Drosophila melanogaster: one gene and its partners. The protein of the gene in region 2 purifies or fractionates together with the protein of the main gene of each other region. This does not show direct contact. Each region holds a gene or a part of one and is shown on either strand. Other genes may lie near its edges.

What was found.
Region 1: the proteins of CG15356 (region 2) and Bap55 purify together in Drosophila melanogaster (affinity purification with mass spectrometry, with the first as the bait; one study listed by BioGRID). This does not show direct contact.
Region 3: the proteins of CG15356 (region 2) and CG3815 purify together in Drosophila melanogaster (affinity purification with western blotting; one study listed by BioGRID). This does not show direct contact.

What each region holds. Positions count from the first base shown.
Region 1 is NT_033778.4:17,428,812-17,432,902, forward strand, and holds Bap55 (brahma associated protein 55kD), read right to left. Parts: upstream 2,153-4,091; 5' UTR 2,030-2,152; coding exon 1,831-2,029; intron 1,752-1,830; coding exon 909-1,751; intron 850-908; coding exon 614-849; 3' UTR 542-613; downstream 1-541. Other genes in the region: Mtap (methylthioadenosine phosphorylase), read left to right, coding at 1-132, 192-230; Lhr (lethal hybrid rescue), read left to right, coding at 2,349-3,353; EDTP (Egg-derived tyrosine phosphatase), read right to left, coding at 3,762-3,897, 3,963-4,091.
Region 2 is NT_033779.5:1,974,958-1,982,442, forward strand, and holds CG15356 (uncharacterized protein), read right to left. Parts: upstream 5,799-7,485; 5' UTR 5,656-5,798; coding exon 5,595-5,655; intron 5,471-5,594; coding exon 5,296-5,470; intron 5,224-5,295; coding exon 4,953-5,223; intron 4,246-4,952; coding exon 1,953-4,245; intron 1,857-1,952; coding exon 1,585-1,856; 3' UTR 506-1,584; downstream 1-505. Other genes in the region: Der-1 (Derlin-1), read left to right, coding at 1-34, 104-230; CG15362 (uncharacterized protein), read left to right, coding at 6,353-6,626, 6,685-6,875, 6,929-6,970; CG7289 (uncharacterized protein), read left to right, coding at 7,355-7,485.
Region 3 is NC_004354.4:6,293,599-6,299,511, forward strand, and holds CG3815 (uncharacterized protein), read left to right. Parts: upstream 1-1,790; 5' UTR 1,791-1,907; coding exon 1,908-1,955; intron 1,956-2,111; coding exon 2,112-2,302; intron 2,303-2,365; coding exon 2,366-3,050; intron 3,051-3,110; coding exon 3,111-4,633; intron 4,634-4,704; coding exon 4,705-4,894; 3' UTR 4,895-5,372; downstream 5,373-5,913. Other genes in the region: CG15892 (uncharacterized protein), read right to left, coding at 1-146, 212-540; CG15891 (uncharacterized protein), read right to left, coding at 1,006-1,455; CG12219 (uncharacterized protein), read right to left, coding at 5,699-5,913.

The DNA.
Region 1 (4,091 bases), on a different chromosome or scaffold from region 2:
TGCGAGGGTGTCAACGTGCAGGATGTCCTCCGTACTTTTGCCGAGAACGTAATTAAGGTGAAGAAGATTCTGGTCAACGCTGTTGGTCGAATTGCCAAGGAGGACTGGTCGGAGGACATACTAAATGCCAAGGTGAGTGAGCCGAGATAAACATCATTTAAAACTAAGTTCATCATGTGTTCCGCCCATAGCAATGCGTTTGCAACAACACAATGTCTGGAGCCATGTGACGATTTATAAAACTTTGCCACGAAATAACAGAAGAGACGCTGATTCGCCGCAAGATTTATGTGCCACCGCTCTATCAACAGTTCCACAAAAAGCGAGGACCCAGAGTTCACTCCATATCCATTACGTACGAATTAGATCCGAAAGACAAAAGGCAGCCGGTGAAAACTCCATTGAAATGTGAAACTGTAACGTCCGCGTCAGCGTCGCAGTAAATATATACATATGTGTGTAACTAAAAACATTTCCGTAATCAAATGCAATCTATTCCTAAACAAACGCTCAGATGTCTTCTGAATAATGGGACACTTTTCACATTTCACATTTATATTATTACATAGAGTTGCGTCTTTAAAATTAAAATTGGAATTCGATTGCGCTGTCCTTACGGACACTTCCGCTCGACTTGGCTCTTGCCGGCCTCTTCGTACTCCTGCGACGATATCCACATCTGTTGGAAAGTACCTATGCTGGCTAGAATAGAGCCGCCAATCCAGGCTCCAAATCTTCGCTCCACGCTGCCATTGGCAGAAATCATTTTTAGGCGCGTATTTGAGGGGGCACGCAGCTGGAGATCGCGATTTAGGCGCTCCGGAAAGCCTTGCAGAAGGGTATTGCCACCTAAGAGCAAAATATTAAGGTATAAGTAATTAGTTTTAAAACCTAGGGAAAATTCATACCAGTAACGACAACTGAGCCGAAAAGTGACAGCCGCACATCCGCATCACACATGCCCACACTGGTGGACGCCAATTGGCCAGCTCCCAGCATTGCATTGTCAAAGAGACTCTCGGCTATCTTGAACCGCTCAGAGCCAAAGTCCTGATGATAACCATTAGGAAACTCATAGTGTACCGTCGGGATTTGAGCAGCAACCCGTTCGTCGAACGGATTTTCTAGGACCTGCAGCACATTCATCTGAAAGTCTTGCATCATGAGCTGCAACATGTAGTTTTGCCACGACTGAGTTAGGTTCTCTGGCAGTTTGCGCAGCGTGAAGCGTCCGTTGTCGCGCTCCTTAACAACGTCTTTGGAGGCAATCTTGTATACCGGCGACAGATCAATGCCGTGCTTCTCCAGATGCTGGCGGCACTGTCGTGAAAGGAAGTCTCCACCCAGGGGTGACTTAACCACCGCCTGGGATAGGACATAGCCCTCATGGACGGGAACGGCCGAGGTGTGGGTGGCTCCACTATCGACAACCAAAGCGGTGGCCCGCCCGCTGGAGAAGGCAGCCAGAACGGCGTTCTTTACCAGAAAGAAGGCTGGAACATTGTACTTCTCGAACATAAGCTCGGTTAGCTTCTCGCGGTTGTTGCGGACATTCCACGATGCCTCGGAAAAGAGCACGGGATGGTATTCCGGCTCCGACTGAATGACATTGGCGTAGGCATAATCAATAACCTTCTCAAACAGGTCCCAGTTGTCAATCATGCCGTCTTTCATATAGGTCTGCACCTCCATATTGGAACGGGGAACGGTCACGTAGTTGGTGTCCACATAGAACTTGCGCTGGTCAGCATCTAGAGTAGGGGTAGGGATTGCCGGTTTTTCCGGGTTTTTAAAAGCCATAAACTAAATAAAGGCGATGTAGAAACTAACTATTTGGCGTGGCATTGTTGTCTGTTTTAGTTTCCGGATCGAGATTGGTCTCTGGAGCTGCTCCAATCCCCACAACCGAGGGTATCTCCGCCTTGGGCGAATCCTCCTGTGCGTAGCCCACTCGCAAGGAATGATGTCCAGGATCGAAGACCAGGGCGCCGATCTCGTCGCCGCCATATAGCATGGTGCCGCCACTCATATTGGGGCGTTCCGATTATTTTTTTCGCACGTTGTGTTCAAGTAATTCGCGAAAATACTTCCGTCTGTGTATATTTTGCGGCTTTTTTCACGACGCTTCTTCCTCGCTGGAGATGGTCTGATAAGTTATCGATTGTTTAAGCCAAATATTTTCCTACCTATCGCTTTGGTCGCTTACCTATCGATTGCTGTTCTCAAACAATTTCCATCGCTATTAGTTAGCAAACACAAATTAAAACTCGGATTCTAAAAACATAGATTTTATTAAAGAAATTACCGTTAAGTGGTATATTAAAACATACGGATGAATTAGTACACAAATGTGTTGTAGAACGTTGGAGAAACACAGTGCGAAAAATATTAAAATGAGTACCGACAGCGCCGAGGAAACGGTGATCCATTCCACTGTTCCCCATTTGGAGATTAACATATCAAACACCAACATCAGCGGCCAGATTGTTTTAAACGACTTGCTGCTCATGGAGATGCTCGCCCGGTATCCCTTCCTTATCATCCCGCAGGTGGAGCCCAAAATGGACGTTGACTACGACTCCTGGGGTTGGGATCAGCTGGCCAAGTCCTTTAACCAAAGCTACGAGCACGTTGAGCTGAGTACTCCGTTCTCCGTAAGTGAACTGAAGCTGCGTTGGGTGAAGCTGCGCCCGCTGGTCAGAGCCTTGGCCGGTTCCAAAGGGCAAATCCCTGAACCTCTGTGGCGGGTGATGCACGATGTGCACATTCGCATGCAAGCCCCGAATCCGGCGGATGTGCCGAAAACCAAGTGTCAGGAGTTTCTTCTCAGTCAGTTGCCTTTCGTGAAATCTATGGCGCAAGCGGAACGCCGGCATTTAGAAGTGGAGGTCCTCGCCCTCATCCTGGAGCAAGAGCGCCAAGAGAAAGCTACTCGAAAGCTGGGTCCTAAGGACCTGGAGACGGTTCAGAGCGAATACGACGAATTTCTTAAAGCGATACGGGTGAAAGAGCTCCCAGCAGACAATTTACTCAGTCCGGCCATGGACAGATTCGGCATTAGCCCACACAAAATAAGACCCAATGTCGCAAGTGCCAATAAAAGAATCAGATATAATAATGCTTGCAAAGGATCAAATGATGTCAAAATCAAAATAGAAACAGCTATTGAACCTAAAATTAAAGATACAACAAAATGTGACGAACGACCGATAGAAACACCACGCTTCGTTCCTCTTAAAAGCGCGAAATACTACATTAAAAGGTGTCGCATCCGGCTGAAGCGAGTGGAAATTGATGATTATTTACCCTTAGCTAGAATACGGCGCTCAAGGCGGCCTACGCTGAGAACATGACTTTCTTTCGTATAAAATGCACATAAGTTTATTAAAAAATACATTACTATAAATTACAACTTAAAACTATTGTATAATCCAAATAGCATTTTATATTTCACTTGCTTTGCATTCTCGAAGAACTAATAACTAAACAAACAAGGAGCGGGAGAACCTAGAGAACAGGAGAGCGGTTTAGCCGGGGCAGAAGGACGACAGGATTTTGTTTGCTCGTTGCCTACGATCGCCTGGTTCTTTCGATGCTTATCGGTAATCAGTAATCCGTTACACTACACAATCGTCAACAGATACTAAAGAACGCAATTTAACAGGTCTATAAATACAGTCGTTGGTTGAAAGCGTAGCACTTAACAAGAAACAAACAATGTTGATGAAATCTAACAAACGGTCATAGCTGCTAATCCTTTCTCAAAACAGTTGGTCCGCCAGGTTCCCAATGAACGTGGCCAGGTTCATGGATGAGCCCTCCTTGAATTTCAGTCCAATCGTCTTGCCGTAGGCTTGTATAAAAATGGCGCGCACTGCATTCAGGCGTTGCTTTCGTCTCCAATTGTAAAACAAAATTATGTCATTATGTATTTGCTGTCGAATAATCAGACTACAACTTACAAGTTGATGCATTGCTTGCTGGCCATAGTGCTGCCGCCTACGTCTTTGGAGGAACCGTTTGCGAAACCGTGCGTCGAGCTGCCGTTACTGATACTGCTACCACTTCCGCTCCCACTGCCACTCGATGCT
Region 2 (7,485 bases):
GCGGCACACCCCTGTTGGAAACGCCGCAGTTCTTGTAAGCATAACGAGGATAATTAACTTGTGGTGCTAGTCGATATAACCCGCACTTCTTTTTTTTGTATAGGAAGCGCCTGGTGCCAGATGTTTCCGGCGGATTCGGCGGCTTCGGACTCCCACCGGAGAGCAGAGCACCACCTAGGCAGGCGACCGAAAGTCCCTGGGGCCGGGGCATGACCTTGGGTCGCAACTGAACTCCAAGCTGAAACTCGAAACTCTCTAGACTAGACTAATTCCCCTTTTTACGGTTTGGTTTACTCTATTTTCTCACCAAGCTCTTTACTTTTCCAACTATTTTTCGATCACCACTCGATTCTCTGGCGACAGCAATAAGTTAACATGTTAAGTGGAAGGATTGCATTGTGCATTGATGAAATTATATTAAAATATGTGTGTACATAAACAACCATTAAAGAAGACAAAAAAGAATGCGGCGTTTCCCTTTGGCCAAAGCAAAACGAGTTCCTTTAGTTACATTTAAATTTATTTCGTTTAAAAGTTCTATGCTAAAAATTTTACAGCGACACGCATCGTTCAACAATATTTTGTATTACACTTTTCACTTTTCGTAGAGGGGAATTCTCTGTTTGGATGCTTCTTCCTTTTCTGTGTGTTTCTTTTTTGGACCTTGGTCGAAAGTTACAACATTCCTCTTAAGATTTGGATTTACAAAACCGACGCATAAAATACTTAACATCTATAAATCGTTAATGGTTAATCATCTGTGTGTGTGGGTGTGTGTGTGTGTGTGTGTGTGTGTGTGTGTGTGGCATGGGTCTCCTTCCGATCAAGATTAAACATGTGTGGTCCTTAGCCGAACTAGGTATCTATACAAGTGTATATTTATATGTGGCTGCGATAGTTGGGCCTTGCATTTCGAAATTCATCAGATATTTACATGTTCGGGTTCGGATTGGGTCAACTAGGGTCTATAATCTCATACAATTAAGAATCTTTCAAGTTGAACATTTAAACAATTTCCTCGCTCTCTGCGTGCTGCTCGAATTCGTTTGTTTGTGTACAATTCGCTTATTTCTGCGCTAGTCTAGGCAACTAAATTAGGATGAAATTATGCTAGGCAAAGGGTGGTGTGTGGGGGGGGGAGTGGGGTATGGGTTTCTGGGCGAAGTGTGGAATCTATTTACAAGCTATACAAATTAAGGTAGTCCGCAGAGGCAGCTGCCCTATTTACAGGAGGGAGGTGATCGACTCCGGGCTCCCAGGATTGCAGGCGGATGAAATGGGCGCTTAACTAAACTAAAACTAACACGAATTCCAGGGTATACTTTTCACTAAACGATACTATGTTTATAACAGTGGTGGTTGTGTGATTTGGCAACTTAACTATTGCGAGCGATTAAACCAACAGGCATTTAGAGCTGCTTACGATAATCTTGCACTTTGCTCCAAGGCTGCGGGTTGCGATAATTGGAAATTAGTGGGAAAACCTTCGACATTCAAGCTAAACTACCAACTAAATCTAATTCAAACCGGGTCTGCTGTGTGTGTGTGCGTTCTCTCACTCGAATATCTCGAAATGGGGAGCGTTTAGGGTAACTTAATTGCTGATTGGACAGCTGCTCCCGTGCTGCTTCCTGTTCCTGCAGCCGCTCCTGCGCTCAGTGGATGCTCCAGTGGGGGATGCTTCTTCTGCGGCTGCTGCTGCTGCTGCTGGGGGGATGTGGAGACGATGGCTGCCTTTAGCGTGGTGGTGGCCGTCTCTGGCGATATGTTGCTGGTGCTCTCAATCTCGACGGGCTGCTCCAGGTCCATGTCGACGTACTCGATGGCACTGTCATCCTCCGGGTGCAGCTCAATTACTGGAAAGTAGTGCAAGAGTTAGGATTACGGAAGTCGACTGCAGTTCAAGGAGCCAGTTGAACTCCATTACATGCACATTAGCTACAGAGACTCACTGCTATTGTTCAGGTCCATGGTAGATGGCTGCTCACTACTCTCCCTTGCCTCCTCCTCGGCATCTTCGTCCTCCTCGATGATCACATCGTCCAGAGCTTGTTTCGAGGTCGTGCTGGCAGACTTGGTGGCTGCCTGATCCAGCTCCATCTCCCAGTCGGTGGCATTGAACACGACCAGGGGCGAGTTCTTCACCGACGCCTGATTGAGCTCCGCAGCGGTGCCGTTGTCTGCCACAATGATGGGCATGTTAATAATATCGATGGGCGTGTCCTCCGTAATGAGTTGGTTGGCTTTGGGCTTGGTGCCGCCTGAGGGATTGGGAGATGACGCGGCACTAGCTGGAGAGGTGCTCGCCCCTATGACCAGCACATTGGACTTGGGCTTTGTGGCCAGGGTGAGTGCCCGCATGCCACTCGCCGCACTCGCTGGCAGAAAGACCAGATTGTTCTTACCACCGCCCGCAGTGGCGAAGGTCAGCGTGGTCGGCTTGTTGCCCAAACCTGGCTGCTTGGCACTGGAAGTCAAGCCGGATATGGTCGTCGTGGTGGTGGTGGGACTGCTGCTTCCGCTACTGGCGCTTCCTGTCGCCGGCTGGAGTATCTTCTGTATGCTGATCCTCTGCTCCCTCGCCGGCTGCTTTGTGGGCGATACAGTGGTGGTGGTGGTGGTCACAACTCCTCCCGCCGCAGACACCGCAGTGCTGCTTGCGTTATTGAACTTGTGAATAATGCTTCCGGCTGGCAGTTTACCCGGCTGTAGGAATAGCTTCCCGTTGGGTGAGCAAATCTTTATGTTCCGCAGCGCACTGCTGGGCACCTGTTTAATAGTGGCTGCTCCGCCCGAACTGCTGGTTAGCTTGATATTCCCTAGTATCTGAGGCCCAGCCCCTGCTCCACCGATTCCTGTTGCTCCGGCGGCACCAATAACGGTTGCGCCGCCTGCAGCACCGCTGGCTCCTTTGATTGACGGCGTTACCTTCGCTCTGAAGAGATTCGCCGGCATGGTGGTGCCGGCTGAGGGAAGCGGTGTGATCAATGTGTTGTTTAAACTACTAGCTGGTATATTCTTGATAATGTTGACGGTGGAGGCGCTGCTTAAGGGAGTGACCCTGGAATCCTTGAGCGGCGACAAAGGACCGCCTATGGGTTCCGTGTACGGCAGCAGGCGAACCGCCGAACTGGGCAAGGTCTTGGGCTTGGCATCGCCCTCAAGGATGTTGAACTTCTTGGGCGTTGTCTTGGCGCCCGGTGGCAGGAGCGTGGAGTTTGTGGAACTGGTGGGCGAAGCCACGGCTGCTCTCAGCTTGCCGCCCATCGACGGAGCTGGGATCTTCTGAACACTGATTATCTGCGGCGCCAATGGAAGATTCGCGGTGGAAATGGGAGTGGGCGTAGTGGCCGCGGAGGGCATCGCATCCGCATGTCGTTCCTCAGCCACAAACTTCTTGGTGGGCGAACCTTGACCCTGTGTGGCCACCTGCACGGGTGACGCCTGCAGCTTCTCCTTAAACACTATGGGAGAGTTGGCAAATCCGCGAGAGCCTGGCGTTGTGGGGGATCCAATTTCGGCAGAGGGCATACCACTTTGCGGCCCATAGATCATCGGCTTAATGGTCTTCAGAGGCTTCAGCGTGACCAGTGGCCTCGGCTCGTTTAGGATTGTGTATGGAGGAGCGACTGTGGACGTGGGCGTGGGAGGATTGGATGCCGCCAGCGTTTTGAGCGCCTCATCCAACACATACTCCACGTGCGGCTGTACCACCATGTGATTGGGCACCGTCTCCTGCGACTGCATTAATACTTTCTGTTGCTGGTGTTGCTGCAACTTCTGTTGCTGCTGCAGTTGCTTCTGCGCTCGTCTGCCGCTCTTGGCAGGTGCGGCACTTCGCTTAGCTGTCGAAGTGTCTCCACCGGAGCTGGGCATATTCCTGCCGCCCAAGGGATTGCCCGATTGCGCGGAGGGTGAGCCCAGTCTGTTGGCAAGATTCCGTTTGCTGGCCAGTCGCTGCTTGTGCTTCATCTGCTGCTGGTAGAAGTAGCGCTGCTGTAGCGTCCGAGCAGTCATCCGTTTCTCTGGCGGCACGGGATCTGCCTCCTCCATGCCGGGATTCGAGGAGTTCGGATTCAGCTGCTGTGACTGCTGCTGCTGCTGCGAAGCCTGCAGATGCGGCTGCTGCGGATGTGGTTGCTGCATATGCCGCTTCTTGTTCGGCTTGCCGTCGATTCCGCTATCGTTCTCCTTGCGCTTCTGTGTCATTTTCTTCACCTCATTGGGTAGATCGGGAACTTTGAACTGAAGGAGGGAAGAATTGATTTTAATTTTTGGCGTTTTCATTACTCAACTTGTGAAACAGACTCCTGAAAACAGACACTTTAGAAAACAAGATAAAAAGGGCGAGGAGAATTACTTATTTTGGTTTTAAGTCACTTTCCTTATAAACATAAATATTTACATATTTATTTGTGCTCGTTATATAATCCAATTCAAAATCCAATTTGAACGGCACGTAAAGTTCACCCTCTATCGATAACAGCTGGAAGCCAACAGAATGTTAAGCCCAGTTAACAGATACTCACAGTTTTCTGTTACTGGCGGTTTAAGTTGAATAGCTAATGATTACCAGAGATATATTAACAAATAAGCGAAAAACGATTGGGAAACTAAAAAGGTGACAACGAAAGTGTAAAATGGTATGAAGTACGAAGAAAATTGAAACGATTTAATTTTCCCGCCTTTTTAGCATTCTGGTTGGAACTCCACAATCCAACTGGATTGTTTTTAGTGGCAGATTTTTATTTTCATTTGGAATTATGATTTTTTTTTTAAATTCTTCTGAGGATTCCCATTATTTACGTCTATATTCAAAGGGTAATTGGCGCTGGGCAACTTTTTGGCAGCGCCCAAAAGCAGCCACCCACTTGTTTTCATGGCAGGTACAGTCTGCACATTCGCTATCCTCAAGCGAGTGGAAACTACACGGATGGGATTATGTAACTCACCGGCTCCGCCATGATCACCATGGCGGTGTCCTGGATCCTGGCACCACGCGGATATTTCAGGCTCATCAGCGAGGCCTGCTCCACGAGGGCTTCTCCAAAGTGGACCGCCGTTTCGGCCGGAGCAGCCAATTTGGCGTTTTCCTCGCAGGCTTTGGCCGCCAGGTCATTGGCAACGATGCTCAGCGCAGTTTGTGGACTAATCCTGGGAAGAAGAGGATAGAGGCGTCGTCCCTCGCGTGACCATTCCTGCCAGGTGTTGGGCCCACAAACGCTGCAAGGGCAGTACAGATACACAGGGCATTAGTAGTTAGTTTGCACTGGAGTATCTCACTGGGAATCTCACTTTTCCGCTATGGTGCAGAGCTGCTCGTCGTTGGCCGCCCTCCGCACTTCCGCCCTGTGGCGTTCCTGGTTAATGTGGAACTGCTGGCGCAGCTCCTCCAGCAGTTTCGCCTTCGTTTCACTGAGGGCTCCTTGGGCGCGAAAAACGCTCACCACATGTGAATAGGACTCGAGTTCTGGTGGGCACAAAAACAGAGACAACAGGAAGAAAGTGCTTTAGTCGCCAGCGCTCCACTCGGCGGCCGATCCTCAAGAGCTCCCGAGGATGGGACTGAATTTCGTTGACCACTCAGCTCTCACCCAGTCGACGCAGCATGCCTCGGCACTCGTCCCGCGACATTTCCAGCGTTTGCGGCCACATCCCGACTTTCCCGTGATTTACGTCCTTGGCCGTCGGCGATCCCGTGCTTTTCCGGTTGCTTGAGCTTTGGCCAACGCAGGATTAGGTCGCTAATTCAAAAAATACGGATAAATGGTTTGCTATTCCTAATAAAATAAAGCAATAAGAATATCGAACTATCGATGGGCGATAGGCCGCTGCGGTCACACTGCGGCCAGGAGGAAATAAAGGTATCAAACTATCGCAGGTGGCAAGGCAGCGATAGATCGGATAGAAAATAACAAATTTAATTAAAAATGAAACTAAACATATAAATAATTACAGTGCTAACTTATTACTTGTAATGCCAAGCAATGGCATTAGTGATTTCATTAACGCTGCTATATGGAAAGGTGATTTATTTCGCACACCTACAGTTTTTATATATTTTTAATTTCCATATATTTTCAATGATTAGTTCTGGATACATTTTCATATTTTATAAAATGTAAATACACGATTTAAAATTCCCGCCTAGCACTGGAATATTTCCAATGGAAGTGCACATAGGACCGCTCGATGGTTAATCGATAAATACCCGCTACAATGTTTACTTCGCTTATCCAAAATATTTTACCAATTCGAAAGTGTGAAACGATCTTAGTCACAGACGTTCATGAAAAGAAAAGCTAAGACCGTGCCGATCCAGTCAAACAGCCGAATGAAAAACAAGGCTAAAATGTACATAGCCGGGCTGGCCGGTTTGGGCTTAATAGTTTTGGTATCGATCTACAAATGTGCCAGTGGCGAGGTTCGCCAGGCGGAAAGCGAAAAGTGCTTCTTCTGCGACTTCGCCCACCGCCGCCAAGGACCGCCGCCCATCCTGGAGGTGGAGACGGACGAGTACGTGATCTTCAAGGACAAGTATCCGGCAGCCAGACTCCACTATCTGGCGATTCCCAAGGAGCACTTCGACAGCCTGAAAGCGCTGAACAAATCGCACGTTGGATTGGGTAAGCCACGGTACGCATAGCAAGCAAACGTACTAATGACCATTTGCCACGTACCCAGTGCGGCGAATGGAGCAGGGCATGATGGAATTCCTGCGATCGCAGAACGTGGATCCCAAGGAGGCGATTGTGGGCTTCCACTTGCCGCCGTTCATCTCGGTTCGCCACCTCCACCTGCACGGCATTTTCCCGCCTGCCGACATGAGTTTCGGCAACAAGATCAGCTTTATGCCCTCATTCTGGTTCAAAAAGGTAAGGAGCATCGCATACCTCACTCTTTACTAATTCACATTGCCTTCTTTCAGTCCAGTGATGCGATTCGGGAATTGGAGGACCGGGAACTGTGATATGGGCTTAGTTGCGGGAGAGGTGCAATTTAAAATTAAGAGTTTTTTCATTACTGTCTTAAGTTTCAACCATCTGTGTCAACCCAGTGAGATTCAAGCCCGTCAAAATGTACAAAGAAATGTAACTGATATATACAATTTAATATAAATTAGGGCTTACCCTATTAACTGCATTATGCGTTTTAAACTTGGGGTTCAATGCACTATACCCTGTAATCCGAGGGTATAGAATTTCCAACCGATATACAAAGATATCGATTTAGCGAGACTAGCCGTGCCATCACTAAAAGCAGTTGCCATTCACTGGGAAGCACAAAAATGGTCTAAAATTGAAATGTTTCTCAATTTTCCGACATTTTCCGGGCTCCAAAACACTGCTGGAAAATGTTGTTCCGCTCAGCGAAAAGCAAGTTCGACGCCGGCGACGTGATGCGTCGAATGAAACGCCTGGCGGAGGGCACGATCTCCTCGTACCGCCGCTTGTTCCTCCTGCTCCTCTGCGTCTGTGTGGTCTT
Region 3 (5,913 bases), on a different chromosome or scaffold from region 2:
TCTTGATGAGCACGTTCAGGTACTGGGTGCGGCACTGGCGCTCCAGCTTGGTCAGCATGTTGTAGTACAGTTCCTGCTTGCGCTTCAGGAAATCCTCCTTCTTTCGCTCCTTGGTCTTGTTGCTCTTAAGGATCTGCTCCAGCTGTCTGTTTTTGGGAATGAGATGAGATGATTAGATCGCGTTAGCAACTGATGCAAGCGCTGCACTTACTCCGTGGTAATGGCTTTGTATTTGCCCAGCATGCGCTTGATCCGCTTGGCCCGCAGCTTCGGATCGTATACATCCTTGAACTGCTCGTAGTTGTCGATGAGCGTGTGCAACTTGGGCTTGGACAGGGCCACGTCGTAGGGCTTTACCTTGGGCGGCAGTGTCGGCTGGTAGGCCATGCGCCGCACATACAACTCCAGCTTGTCCAGTTCCTCCTCCCGCCGCTTCTTTACGTTCTCCTCTGCGCACACATCCGGATCCTCCTCCTCGGGCAGCGACTCCGTCGACGTGGGCATCGGCTCATCCCAATCCGAGACATTGGAGCTGGCCATGGCTGAAGAGTACTACACGGAACTGAACTAAACGAAACGAAACGGAACGGCTCGTCTCGGCTTGGTAAATTTGTACGTATTGGAAATTTAGCTTTGAACTTGGTTACTTATAAACACAAAATAATGTTTCGAAATCTTTTTTGTGTACGAAAAATTTGGGTAAACGGGAGCACTAACAATTTTATGTATTCACGCTGCGATAGTGGATCACCTTATGAGCAGTCCCAGTTGAAATGTGAGCGAGGTAAAACCAAAGGACTACTTGATAGTCAGAAAAGTTCTACATGTTTTCAAAGAAATGGAACATTAATTGTATGGCAACAAGATTAAGGAATTCCAATGACTCACACCACTAACAAGCAAAAGAGCACTGCATATGTGGTTTACAATTAAATAAGCAACGTTTTATTATATGTAATGTAATGTAATGTATGAATATTAACCAGTGGATCTATGGATCTAAAGCTAGTAACACTCGTTCTGCACGGATCGCTCCAGGGCGAAGGTGTACTCCTCGGCCAGCTCGTCCACGGACAATTGGCGCGTTAGTAGCGCCAATATGCTGTCCACCTGCATTTGGGTGCTGGTGTAGCGATCCTTGTTGGCCAATCCGGGTGCCAGCTCGAATGGAATGTCCTGCAAGTAATTGACGGGTCCTTGGGCTCCGGGCTGCTTCACTTGATCGCTGCGCGGTCCTGGCATCGGCGGATAGGGCAGATAGCCCGCTGGCGGCATAGGTGGATACATGGAGCCGGCTGGAACACCCGGATGAGGAGCATCCGGTACTGGTTTGCGCTCTATGAACACGAAATCATCGACACTGGTGCCTGGACGGGTTGCCTCCGCCGGTCCCTGGATGGGCTGGTCATCCGTGGGCGTTTCCGCGGGCTTGCGTTTGCCAAATATCGAAAACATTGCACTATTTTGTTCTATTGTTTGGTAAAATCAACTGGCAAATTGCGTCGTCCGCCAGCTGTGATGCTCTTTTAGCGGGCGTTGGTCCAAAACAGCGAGTGCTAGCTAGTGGTGTGCCCAAAAGATGTAAACATATAGGTGTCTATAGTGAGGTCTGAGCGAAATATGAGAATTTTGGGTATTTAATTTTTAACTATTTGTTTGCTTGGGTATTTTTCGGTTACGAATGTGTATACCCAATATAAACTTTATTAATTGCAAGTAGTTAGATTTGGAGTGAAATGCAGTCTGCACTGAATTTCCGTTAATCGCCTATCGGTGGGCGCGCAGTGTGGCCATTCGCTCGTCGGATGCGCAGGGCTGGACAACCGACACTGCGCCCGCCTCCGTCGCCAAGTGAAGTCGCTCCGAGATTGATTGTGTACACCGGATAAGAGGAGCGAGCGAAAAAGATGTCAAAATTGGACCAGGACCCGAACGCCTCACTGAGCATCATGGAGGTGAGTGTGCCGCCGGGACGCCATTCAGAGCTTCAGTGTGTCCACTGCCCGGAGCTCCAATTCCAATCGGCGGTGGCTACTCTAGAGCTGCCACATTAACGCATTCACAACTGTCTCCATTTCCCACATTTAACATAACTTTACTACTTCGCGCAGCAAATCAAGCAGCTCATCCGCCCGCCGCCCAACGAGGACGAGAAGATGATGCAGCGGTCCACCAACACGAAGCATCCGTACTACAGGCGCCCGGGCAGGGGCCACAACCACGACTATTGTGACGCCTGCGAGGAGGGCGGCAATCTGCTGTGCTGCGATCGATGCCCCTCCAGCTTCCACCTGCAATGCCAGTGAGTATATACACGCGCATATAGCTGCTCATTTTGAGTGCTGATTTCGTGCTTTCGCCACAGTGATCCACCGTTGAGCGAGGAGGACATACCCAGTGGCCAGTGGCTGTGCCACAGCTGTCGCATGAGCAAGCTCTCCCAGCCGCCGGCCTCCTCATCCAAGGCCAGTTCCGTGGAGCGTGTGCCTTCGGCGGGCAGTGGCTCACGGGCGAATACTCCATCGTCTGGCGATCTGGAGTCCATACCGCTGAAGATCCGCAACCTGCGCAAACGCAGCAACAGCGAACGCAATAGCACCGAGAAGCTGCTGGCCAAAATGCCGATGTCCATACAGCGCGCCCTCGATCCGAACAAGAAGCCAACGCCGCTGGACGATGTCATCAGGGCGGCCACCATGATGAATCCGCAGCAATTCTCGCTGCCGCCGGAGCTCGAGCTGCACACCCAGTTCCCGGGCAATGGCAAGGTGCAACCCGTACAGCAGACGCATCCGCCGAGCGGAAATGGCGGTAATCGCAGATGCGCCGGCAATCAGCGACGCAACTCCAAGCCGTTTGAGCTGGATGCCCAGGGACTGGTGCCGCTGCCCGCCAAAACCTGTTTCTACTGCACGCGCTCCTGCAAACGGGCGCCGCTCATCTCCTGCGACTACTGTCCGCTCTACTTTCACCAGGATTGCCTGGATCCGCCACTGACGGCACTGCCAGCTGGATTGTGGATGTGCCCCAATCATGCCGAGAATTTTATCGTAAGTCAGCCAACGCACATGGAGGTCTGCTTGGGTTCTAATGAGGATGTCTGTTCACAGGATGCCAATATGACCAATAGCATTTCGGCCACGGAGCGGGTGCGTCTCTGGAATCGCTTCCACCAGCCACTTGACCATGAAAATGTCAAGCTTGAGTTCTTCCGGCGTGTCAACACGCGCAATCCGCCCTTTCGCACCAAGAGAAATCTGCGTGCTCGCGCCCACATCGAGGTGCCAGCCATTGTGCGCTACCACTACGATCATCCGCCGCCGCTGTTGCCCTCCATGCGCCAAACGTTGCGCTACGATCGGGTAAAGCGGCGCAATAACCTGCCCACCGAAGTCGAGGAGATATCCCGTGAGTCGGTCACCGAATCGCTGCTCAAGGATCTGGAGGCCTTGCGCACGGCTCACGCCAAATTCCGTGAGATTCAGAGGGAATTCGGAACCTTGGAGACGGCCATAGATGGCGATAGCGACAGCGATCCCAGTCCTGAAGAGAAAAGGACCGAGACGAACACTCCCGCCGATAAAGTGAATGGCGAAGTGGATACGGAGAATCCCAATACAGAATCGAATGCGCAGGCCAGCGAACAGCCGTCGGTTGTCAAGGTGGAGTCCAAGACCAGCCTAGAGGTGGAGGCTAGCTTCGAGGAGGACGAGGAGGACAGCAAGAAATCAACGGGTATTATCGATGCAGACCTCTTACACCTGGACGTCGATATAATCAAGAAGCTGGCGCACCAGCGTCTGCAGCAGCTGGTCGAAGAGCATCCGGAGATTGTGACACAGTACAAGAATCGCACGGCCGCTCGTCGCCTGCGTCAACTGGCGTCAGTCGATGGCACACATGTGGCTGGCGAAACTGCTGCCCTGCAAGGCCAACTGGCGCCGGAGGATATGAACCGTTTCTCGCTGCTCTTCACCAGCGAAACGTCCTCAATTCTGGCGCAAAAGAATGGCAATGCCGCCGACGAAGATCCCGCAACGGCCCTGCATCCGGCACTGGCCACAGCGGCGGCCATTGCAGCAGCAGATGCCGCTGCCGAAAGCTATGCGCCGCGTGCCCGTAGCGACACGGAGAAGGCATACGAGCTGGCATCGCGCCTGGAGCTCAAGCTGCTGCAGTGCAAAGTGCAGGCGCGTGCGGTGATAACGCCACTGGGCGACATGCTCGAGGATAGCCGCTGGTTCAGTTCGCTGGGGCTGGACCATTCGATTTTCATGCGCTACCGCACGCTGTACATTGGCTACGGTGGACACTATTCGCCATCGACGACGCTGGCGCAAACGGAGACCGTGGACCTGTCGGCCATTGGTTACTGTTGTCGCATTTCACCGCAGCACGCCATCATCTTCTACGACGAATTCTCCAAGTCGTACGAGCTGATCAATTACTCAGAGTTTGGCACCGAGGTGAATGGACAGCTGTATGCCTGCGACGTGACCGAAAGGATGACAACGCACGCCGGCAAGCCGATGCGACCTGACGATGCGGAGCTGAAGAAGCGCGTCGATGAGATGCTGGACAAGCGTCGGAACATTAATCGCCAGTTCGAGACGAAGAAAATCGACAAAGAACGGTAGCTATAGTTTATTTGCCCAACTTACCCAATGATGATGATAACCACTTGTTGATTTAATCTCCCCGCAGATTGGCGCCCATTGTTAAGCCCGCCTGCCGCTGCATGAACGCCGGACCAGTGCCCATGGTGGATGGCGCCTGGGAGGGATCGGCGGTGCTGGCTCACGGCAGCCTGCTGCGATTCGGTTGCCTGTCGTTTGTGTTTGTCGTGCCGTCGGTGGATCTGCTGCAGGCGCAGGCGCGCAGCAAGCGTTCGTAGAACCAGTACCCAGACTCCATCAGCAGAAGCAGCAGCCTTTAGTTTAAGCATTAAGACACAGAAACATATACGCGCTCAACCGCAGCCAACTCCAGTGGAGCAGCACCAATCTCAGTGGGGCAGCTAGCAGCCAGGCATAGGGTTAGGGTTAGCAGATACCAGTTCAACTTCATCGCATCAATCATCGCAATGCAAAGCCTCGGCAGTACTTTTAAATCACACAATCCTCCAATCCCATCCAGCATTAAGGGTATATATTTGCCTTATGACCAGTGCAATAAATACGGAGTACAAACCACGGATGTGCACGGCTGCAGGCTGATCCATGCCAGTGGGCAGTGGATCTCTGGTATCAAACGCCGTATTTATTGAATTAACCATTACGTTCATAAATCGCATAAACCCGCATCGCATACTTTACTTTTATTGTAAAAACAGATGTATAAATTGCTAAAACGAAATAAACTTGTAAGATCAGAGATTTTTTCACATGCAAATGGATCGATGGAGCCACCAATTAGCAGTAAGCCCCGCCCAATAAGTGCACATGACTTTTAGTTTCTTTTGAAATGAATGTGTTTACTTTATAACCAGATCAAATCCAACTGGTTAAGGCATTATAGAGAACGAGAAGAGTATACACAATAGGTGCCAGGCGGCGGGACGCCTTGACTTTGTGGAGTACACGAAACGTCGGATAAGTACATTCGGTATGGCTAATATGCAAAAAATATATATGTATATATTTGTAATTGTAAAGATCTAAGACTACGCATGCACCGCGTCCAGGTGCCGGCTGCCATCCTAGAGTGCGGCCGCAGGACCCGGCTGAGCCTGTGCCTGTGACGGGTTGGTGTGCTGCATCTGCTCCTGGACGCCAGCCTTGGCCGCCGAGCGCGTGGCTCGCGATCTCTCCCATTCCGCTTTGTGCTTGCGCTTAGTGTGATGGTACATATTCGACTTGGAGCGGAATTCCGTGGGACAGAAGGCGCAGGTGTGCAGCTTGACGCCCGTGTGCG